2 linked regions of the Saccharomyces cerevisiae S288C genome follow. The gene in region 2 interacts genetically with the main gene of each other region. Each region holds a gene or a part of one and is shown on either strand. Other genes may lie near its edges. The genes, in order: PKH3 and AVT1.

Region 1 (5,337 bases), on a different chromosome or scaffold from region 2:
ACACTTAACACCAGCATGGCTGAGAACAATGATGGTGGTATGTCCAATCCGTTTCAGGAACAAATGTTAAGAGAACAAGATGTTCATTTAGATGGTATTCACAAGACAATGCAAAATTTGCATATTCAAGCTCAAACAATGGGGGATGAATTAGAGAACCAGGGACAATTGTTGGATAATATGGACGAGGGTATGGACGGTGTTGTAAATAAGCTGGCTAGAGGTCGTAGGCAATTGGAATGGGTCTACGAAAAAAATAAAGAAAAATACGACGATTGTTGTATAGGACTTCTTATTGTCGTCTTGATAGTTTTATTAGTTTTGGCATTCATTGCTTGAAAAATACAATGCACTAATGCCGAAGAGCTTCAATCGAAGATATACTGGGCATATATAAAATACATGCATTCTGAATACATAAGTGATACGGATATTAATGCTACAAGGGTTTGGATATGATTTATATGTTGGTTTTTCTGGATCGTCAACAACTCGTGCATATTTTTTTGTTTCGAAGTAGAGGAACCACAAATATTATTAAAGCGTGTTATTTTTTTTTCTTACTCTTCTGTAAACTTCTAAATGCTGCTGAGGCACCCCTACTAGCAATTTCCCTATCAAAGTTTGTTTGGCTGTTATTAAGGGTATGTAAGACCTCGTATCTGCTGCTACTGATCACCATGTTAGAAGGAGCAGAATACTTTTCTCTCGTAGTTGGGAATTCCATTTGCGGAAGTGGAGGTGAAGGTGTTGGCTGTCGATATCCTGTTGTTTTGATTTGAGGCTTGGTCGTAGAAGATGAAGGAGAAAATACGGATGATCCCTGCTTCTTCGAAGTTAAAATATTATGCTTATTGTTCCCTACATTAGTAGAAGGCCTATGATTAAAAGCTGGGACCGAACCGTTGGTATATGTATTGGTAGAAGGTGCACTATTTGGTAATCTTCCATTCATTTTTTTCGGAGTTTCACCAGCGTTATTGCTTGACAAAACCCTAGGATGTCTTGAAGAAGGAGTGGAATTTGCACCGGGCCTATCCTTGGTACTACTAGGTATGCGAAAAGGTTTTTCTTCTCCAACATTATCGTTTTGTGGTGCATTGTTCTGGCTTCCATTTTTTGCAGTATAGCTGAGTGTTGTTACATTATTTCCTATACTCAGAGGCCGCTCTTTTCTTGAAATAGGCGGAGGTGATGATGGTTCACTCGATGCCTTACTATCAAAGGAAACGTTACTGATTTTATCAAGAATTTGCTTTTCTTCTAGTAGTTGTCTTGCTCTGAAAAAGCAATCGACCCAATTTTCATTGTTATTTATTGTCGAAGACTTCACGGCATTGAATGGTATTTTGGATAACGTTGAATATGAAGGTAGCGAGATAAACCATATTCTATTCTTATATTTTTCCAGGATTAAAAAACCCTTCCTTGTCAACTCATTGAATTCAAAATCGTACATGGACAAGTCTGTATCTTCTATATTAGCCATCTGGTGTTCTTTGTTTTCTTGATCATCATTTCCCTCCATAACTGTGTTTTTGTAACTTAACATTCCGCTCTTCTTCAAAGTCAATACCTGTAAAAACGACTCTGAGTTTTTTAATTCTTCTTTATGCTGCGCAACTAGTGACGTAATTAAATCATTATCGATCTTATTGTAGCTGTTCAAAGACATAGCAGGCCCTTCGTGTTCATATGGAATGCCATAAATGAAGACGTAGTCTTGTTTTAAAACATGAATATCAATTGAGTTTCTTCCATCTAAAGTGTGTGTTAAGTCCTGGTTCCTTATCTCTGTTGACGGCGCCGATAGAGCTGACGATGCTGACGATGTTGACAACTTTTGTGGTATTGATGATGTTTGCAAAGGTGGCACATTAGGCTTTGTGCGCGGAATTGACTTATTTCTCACGTTGTCATTAATTACCGGTACTTTGGGAGGTATTCTATTTGGTGCAACTAGTTGTGCTCGCTTGACTTGATTGGATTGTGAATTAGGCGGTAAGGCAATATTTGCAGTAGAATGTGCCGCCGTATTTGTTAATACATTGGTATCATTAGGGGCGGTCACTGCAGGCGTAGTGGACGGTACGGTGCCTAAATCATCCTTACCTGTTGATATACCAAGCCTTTTTCTCCATACTACTATGCTACTAGTAGTGTTGGAAATTTTCGTTGGTTTCTTACGTTTTTGTTTTGTGATTTGTATACTTCGTGCTGGAGTGTCAATTACATGTAATTGTCTGGTGGGTAGTATATTCTGCGGTATATTTGGGAGTCCCAAAGTAGTTTGTTGCAGCGATTGTCCTTGTGATTGCCAGATTCCTCTCCATATTTTGATTTTATCATTCCAATCTACTTTTGAAAAATATGGGTGTCTTTTTATCTGTTCGAGAGAGATTCTCTCATTGACCTCTATCACCAATATTTTTTGTACTAAGTTTATTACAAGGGGATTTATTGGTGATGTGCTATTATTGATGCGGTTATTGGGTCCCCATGGATAATCTAATGCTACGATTTTTTCAAATGTCTTCAGCTCATTCTCCCCTCTAAACGGCGGTTGTCCTTGGACAAACTGATATATCATGCAACCTAGTGCCCATATATCTGAGCCATAACCGCATTGGTTGTATAAAAGCAGCTCTGGAGAGACATATTCGGCAGTACCAACAAAGGAAGCGCAATTTTGGTTGTCTTTTGAGCCGTTGCTGTCAGAGTTAAACTTGGCCGAATCTCCGCTTAAACTAGGGTCTATGGTGGCAGCGGCCCCAAAATCAGTAATCATAAGTCTACCATCCCTGTCTAAAAGGACGTTTTCCGGTTTTAAGTCTCTATGAATGATGCCATGTGAATGGATAAATTCTAATGCATCAATTAACTGTGCAGTGAAATGACGCGTCCATATATCATTGAAAGTACCCATTTTGTGCAATAAGGAAAGTAGTTCTCCACCTGGGGCAAAATCCAAAACAAAATAAAGATTTTCCTCATCGTGAAAAGTATAGTATAGTTTGATTATACCCGCGTGATGCTTTTGTGCCAACAAATTCATGGTATTCTTTTCAATGGTGACATATTTTACCTTAGCTTCTTTGATTATGTGTTTCTTCGAACAAACTTTAATGGCATAAATTTTATTCGGGCTTTTTTTATCTAGAGCTTTAAACACAGTAGAGTAAGAGCCATGGCCCAGTTCCTCTTTAAATATGAAATCGTGCGGAGACCTTTTCCTAGACGTCATATGTCATACCAATGTCCCACACCTACTCTTTAAATTTTCACTCAATTGTTTCAGCCTCTGAATAGATAAGACGTGGAAGAACTGCTTACTTGCTTGGGTTAGGCTTTAGGCACTATTATTCTGTTTCCTCACACTTTCAAATCAATGTACCTCTCTTCTGCTGCCTTCATGAAAACCCCTTCGCTACCAAGAAATCACCGCGCGGGTAAGCATGAAAATTGTTTCGATCCATTGTTACCTCAATATGTGACATTAGCTGCGAGTAAGGAAGTTATATTGTTAACACTTTCAGTATCATCTCTAGTCATCAGTACGTGTGCTTGGGGTTGACCAATGCAGATATTTGTTTAGTGTATATAGGATTCGAAGGATTATAACGATTCTTTTCCTTTTTCGGCGAGAATCGATGGCACCTTTCTTTTTCTAAAATTTTTCAAAGCTCATCTCATCTCATTTTAAGCTAAGCGTAAAGCAAAATGACATTGACAATACCCAGCAGTTGCAACGGCTAGGTGTTTACACCAAGGACTTTTAATATATTCAAGTATGTCAGAATTACATGCTTTGCTTACTTTCCCAGAGAGGCCCATTTCTCAAAGTTACTATGTACCAAAACTGCAGCATTTCTTAAAATCTGGTATACCGGCTACATATACTTTGGAGCAGGTCGCAGCCTTCGAGCATGAGGAAAAGAACAGGAACGGGGATAAGGAATTCAGAGAGAGCACTGACGACAATAAAACCTCAAACACAACGCCGTTACACGTTTTAGCAAGATCGCTACCCTTGGATATCAAGGATGAGGAACTGCAAGTGGTGATGGATATGATGAATATTCTTTTTGAGTATGGGGCTGGATGGAATTTTATTGACTACGAGGACAAAACAGTGGGTGATTTGTTTTTAGAGAGAAATCAAAGTAGGGAGAGCCCTCTTTATAGACGGCTCGTGGAAGCTGGTGTGTCTGCTGAATTATTACTGAGAAAACTCAATGGTGGCGACGTCGAATTCTTGGATACAGATGAACTAATAGGTATCGAGCCTGAGGAAAGCGTTCAAACAGCAGTTGATGGTCAAAAAGAAGAATCAGTTGGTAGTGATGACGATGCTACCGCGGCAAATCAACAAGTGTACTTAAAAACAGAACTAGAGTACAAAGACGATGCGCTTATCACAAAGGAAAATAAGGACGGTGTTATGATGGATTGGGAAACCAAGATTATGGAACTTGCTTCCGAAACCTTATTTCCTGATCCAGAGGCCACTAATTCTGCTACGATCTTAAACATTGGATTTGGAATGGGGATCATCGATACATTCATCCAAGCTCGAAAACCATATCGTCACTATATTTGCGAAGCTCATCCAGATGTTTTGGCCAAGATGAAAATGGATGGTTGGTATGAAAAGGATAATGTGGTTATTTTAGAGGGAAGATGGCAAGATACGTTGAATAATTTATTAGACAAAGGTGAAGTTTTCTTTGATGGTATTTATTATGATACATTTAGCGAGCACTACCAAGACATATTGGACTTATACGATGTCGTGGTAGGTTTAATTAAACCAGAAGGCGTTTTCTCATTTTTCAACGGATTAGGCGCTGACAGATCGTTGTGTTACGATGTATATAAAGAAATTGTTGAGATCGATGTTGCTACATATGGTATGAAATGCGATTACACCAGATATTCTCTTGACGAGCAATTGCCAGATTGGAATGATGTTAAGCGGTCTTACTTTAACTGTAACTATTATTACCATCCACGTATCACGTTTGCTTAATTATAGAATAATGTAAATTGCACAATGGCAGGGGCCGATTTCCAATACTAATATTAGTTTCGAAAATCGGAAGAAAAAACTATATACATTTGCTACTTTAAGTATATATGATTATGCAGAAATGGACATATGAACTAAATTATGTCTAGTAACACCTCAGTGTAAAATGCTTTTCTTTCTCTTCTTCTTTGGTTGTAAAGAGGCTAACTTCTCCTCCCTGAACGACTCTTGAATATCTTTTTCAATACAGCGTGCTTTGTTAAGGTTATTCATGTTTACCGCAAGAATATTCAAAATCTCCTTGTCGT
Region 2 (4,261 bases):
TCCTCCGCAAATTCTTCTCTAGCTGCCTCTGCACTGGTTTTTTCGTCATCCATACTAGGTTCTTCATCGTTCTCGGAAAGACTATCATTACTCTGCTCCTCAATCTCAGAAACATCAGCAGAGAGCATCTGCTTTTCTTTAAAAACACTTTCTGCCTCCTCTAGTTCACTTTCTTCCCCGGATGATGAGTTCAGGGTGCTACCATCAGAGAGATTGTGAGAAGGCGTGACAACATCTTTGAGTTCTTGAATTCCTTGAATTAGATCACCATCAATACTATCAAGAACTAGTTTGACCTGCCACCAAACTTGATTGGCGTCTAAACCATCAACAGTGATTTCGTCCAGTTCTGCTTTCTTTGTAATACTCCCATTCTTACAGGTATTGATAACTGAATCTATATATGCTTTAACATCTTTAGAAGTGGCGGAGGGGTCCTTCAAAATAATTCTGCCAGCATTAGATTTCAATACTCCAAAGAGTTCTGACATTATACGACTTTCCTTGGGTCTTTCGTGCACACATCATTTATTCATAACAAAACACTGTTTCTTCAAGAGCTCATCGCAAAATTGAAAATTTTCTGCTTCCCTCGCATGCCGGCGGCCAGTACAGAAAAGGCGGTGAATATTTTATGGAAATAATTCTACACGAAAATATGTATATTACGCAATGGTTTTTCATTATCAGAAGTACAGAGCTAATGTAAATGAATTTTAAGTAGAGTAAGTATGCCCCTCGTCGATTATGAAATAATTGCAGCACCAACACCTAATGTGGACAACACGACACTAATACATATGGTTACGTGACAAGCCACTCTCTCCCATGGTTTGATTGTTGTCTTGCACAATCTTAAATAGAACCAACACGGCAAAATTAGGCAAATTGTAAAACACAAACCGGCCCCCAGAAATGCGATAATCTTATCAAATTCAGGGAAATTAATAGCTATCAAAACGAAGACAACATTAATAAAGATCCTATTGAATACTTGAAGGCCTTTCGCAGCTCTTCTTTTTATGGCGCTGGCCGCTTCATCTATGTGTTGCACATTCATCAGAACGTCCAATACAGAAACGATAGGTCTTGCGTTCAATGGGGTCTTTGCGATAGGAATGATAGTCATAAGCGCTGAAATCAGACCATAAACGAATTTTGGATATCCCTCCGTCAGCAAAACGTTCTTAGTAATTTCATCTTTAACAAGATTTCCAAACATCAAAAAGCCAATAACTGCAGTACCTATGTCCGTAACCGATGTTATCTTATAGGTAGTTTTCAAACAGTCTTTAAATTTATCTGGATGCCTCATATCTGTCTTTAAGTTGGGAAAAACCGCATGTCCTCCCCAGCAGGCACTCAATAAACCTATAGATAAACAGAGATGCTTTAGATCTATCGGCCACATGCTCGTTTCCATCGGATTAACTAATGAACCTGGAGAAGACGACTTGTATAGTCCGCAGCAGCAAATGACTAGCACAGTTCCGGTTGTTGAAAGGATTCCCAGAAGCGAGATATTAGATAGAACACTCAATGGTATAAAAACCGGGGGTGTAACGATAAAAAATGAAACTATTTTGAAAAAAGTGGTGGAGTATTGAGGAAATAGAGCATTTAAAGAATCTCCGAAGAGAATCACCAAGGACACCCCACTACCCAGTAGGTCAAGTGTGAAAAGAGCAGAAATTAGTGCGCGCCCTTTTGTACCAAATGCTGCATATCCCAAGTCCGCGTAAGATATCAAAGTTGGATCTGTATCTAGGCACCTAGACAAAAGTTCAGCAGTACAAAATGTCGCTAAGGCGAAGATTGCAAGCATAGTAAGTCCTATAACCCAGCCGGCGTATTTCAAACCAAGAGGTAACGCCAGGAGCCCAATACCAATCAGTACATTGATTGAGTTGAATATGGTCTGTGGAGCGGTCGACTGACCAGCAAGAAGAGTTACTACCTTACCATCTACACCCTCCACTCTCTTCACTACAATTGAATCCATGTCATTATTTGTAAACCTTCTCCCCGCTCCACCACTCATCATTTCTGTTAAGGAGGCAGTAGGGCGTAATATTGACCCAGAATCCCCAATTGTTGAATTTTGGATGGACCCATAATCATCATCGTGAATAGCCATGCTGGCTGTACTAACTCTATCGTTGTTAGCCAAATTAGTAATGCGCGGGCGACCAGCATTATTTAAAGTTACTGATAATCTTCTACCGTCCAAAGCTGGTGCTAAAGTATCCGGATCGTAGGTTTCATCGTTACTCTCTTTGAAAAAGGATCTTTCATTATCCGCATTTAGCTCGATATTACGAAACGAATTGGCTCTCCTCAACGAAGTCGCAAATCGACTTAAAGAATTAACTCCCTTAAATGAGCCCACAGGATGGTCCAATATGGATTGCCTACGTGTCATGAACCCGTCAGACTGAAACTGTGATACAGAATCATCTGGTGAGAATGCGGAACCTCTGTTCAATGGGATTGAGATATAGTGAACCTCAGAGCGCTTACGGCCATTGGGACTCAATGGTTCTTGCTCAGGCATTTGCGTCTCGGAATCAGTTATACAGAATACGTAAGTCTACGTAATGACTCCCCGGTGTTACCTTTTCACTGTAAAATTTTTCTTTAGAACTACACAACACAACAATATTTTATTTATTTATATTCTCGATCTATCGCTATTTTCGCCCCTCGGTAAAAGAGATAAGAAAAAAAAAAACGCGATGAACAATAGCTAAAACAAAACAGATGCCTAACCAAGACGCGTTGTGTATAACAAAATACCAGTTTAGTTGTTGTGGATGCTTATTCTATTTAGGATGGCCAAAGAACCTACAAAAAAATAAAAAAAAAATAATATTATACTCGTTCTCAACAACTCTACTAATTATTAAATAGGATTATATTAGAGTAACTTAATCACGTGTTAAATAATTAATTTACTTTAAAATTTATTTTTTAATATAAAATATTTATTCTTTTTATTTAAAAATAAAAAACACAAAAAAACAATGTTTATGATTTCCGAACCTAAATATACACTTTACGAGAAGAAATGATTTTCCGGTAGTTAACCTTTTTTTATAGATACGTAGATACAGTCACCATTTTTAACATTGCACACAACTGTACGAATGCATAGATAAGGTAAGCCTTCCAGGACTCCGAAGAATTAGTGAATCAATCTCACATACGTTTTTATACAACAAAAAAATGATTAGTCGTAAAATATCTTGCTTACGAAATTCCCTTCTGAGATACTTTGTCGTTCTAACAGTTAGAGAAAAAAGCGTAAAGCGAAGAGAAAAAGAGAAAGAGGTTATAGACTATTATATGTTATATCAGTGTAGATCCAGAGGCATTTGTTAACAAATATAAAGAGAAGTAATCACTCAGAATTTGTTCTTTTGGGGTCTATTATAGTTGTTCATATTCATCAGGGTAGAATATCAAACGTTCCACACCAGCAGCTGTCAAAACAACCATTCTTATAACACCACCGGAAGATCCGTCCCATTTAATGGCTTGCGATAGCGAATGCTTTATGAAATCTACGGTTTCTTCCTTTGACATATTTTCTCTAAAGTTTTTATCACAATACCCATATATGAAAGTAGAGCCAGATCCTGCTATCGCATAAGGCAGCTTATGGACGGAGCCACCCAATGGAATAGTATATACTTCCCCTTTGTTTTTGTCATCATAACCAGCCACAATTATACCAGCAGTAAGGTTATCTTTATTTTCGTAACATAATTCTTTGAACACCGAGGCAGCAGTCTCTGTGGAGGGGGTACCATATTGAGAAGTATATAATTCCAAATGGTACTGAACAATGTCGGCAATCGCCTGCGTGTCTGCTGCAGAACCGGACCTACAACACCAAATTTTGTCATGTACTCTCGTTAATTTATCTGTCACACGGTTAGCTATGTACGCACCAGTGGTGGTACGTGAATCAGCACCTAGTATCACACCATCCTTAAATGTCACGGCCATACTATTTTATTAGGTGATTATAAGATACCTATTAGTTAGTAATAAGGCCAATTGAGACTTTACTTCATTGAACTTTTAGAAACAATAAAGTGGGAGGAAAAATTCTTATATACATACATTGAGGTACCTAAACTGACTTCGCCCTTTTTCAAACGATTGATGTCCACTTGAATTCCATTCATGTTAACTTTCTGTGTGTACTTTGAAGTAGCAATTCTTATCGTAATTGTACACCGTCTCGCAACTTGTT

What was found.
Region 1: mutations in AVT1 (region 2) and PKH3 together harm fitness more than expected from each alone (negative genetic interaction), as found in Saccharomyces cerevisiae (2 studies listed by BioGRID).

Annotation. Positions count from the first base shown.
Region 1 is NC_001136.10:1,393,028-1,398,364, reverse strand, and holds PKH3 (protein kinase PKH3), read right to left. Parts: upstream 3,245-5,337; coding exon 548-3,244; downstream 1-547. Other genes in the region: TLG1 (Tlg1p), read left to right, coding at 1-339; RMT2 (protein-arginine N5-methyltransferase), read left to right, coding at 3,791-5,029; SPP41 (Spp41p), read right to left, coding at 5,186-5,337. UniProt on the Saccharomyces cerevisiae protein: Serine/threonine-protein kinase which may phosphorylate the same targets substrates as PKH1 and PKH2, 2 upstream activators of PKC1.
Region 2 is NC_001142.9:435,095-439,355, reverse strand, and holds AVT1 (Avt1p), read right to left. Parts: upstream 2,555-4,261; coding exon 746-2,554; downstream 1-745. Other genes in the region: rRNA-processing protein MPP10, read right to left, coding at 1-491; PRE3 (proteasome core particle subunit beta 1), read right to left, coding at 3,430-4,012, 4,129-4,193.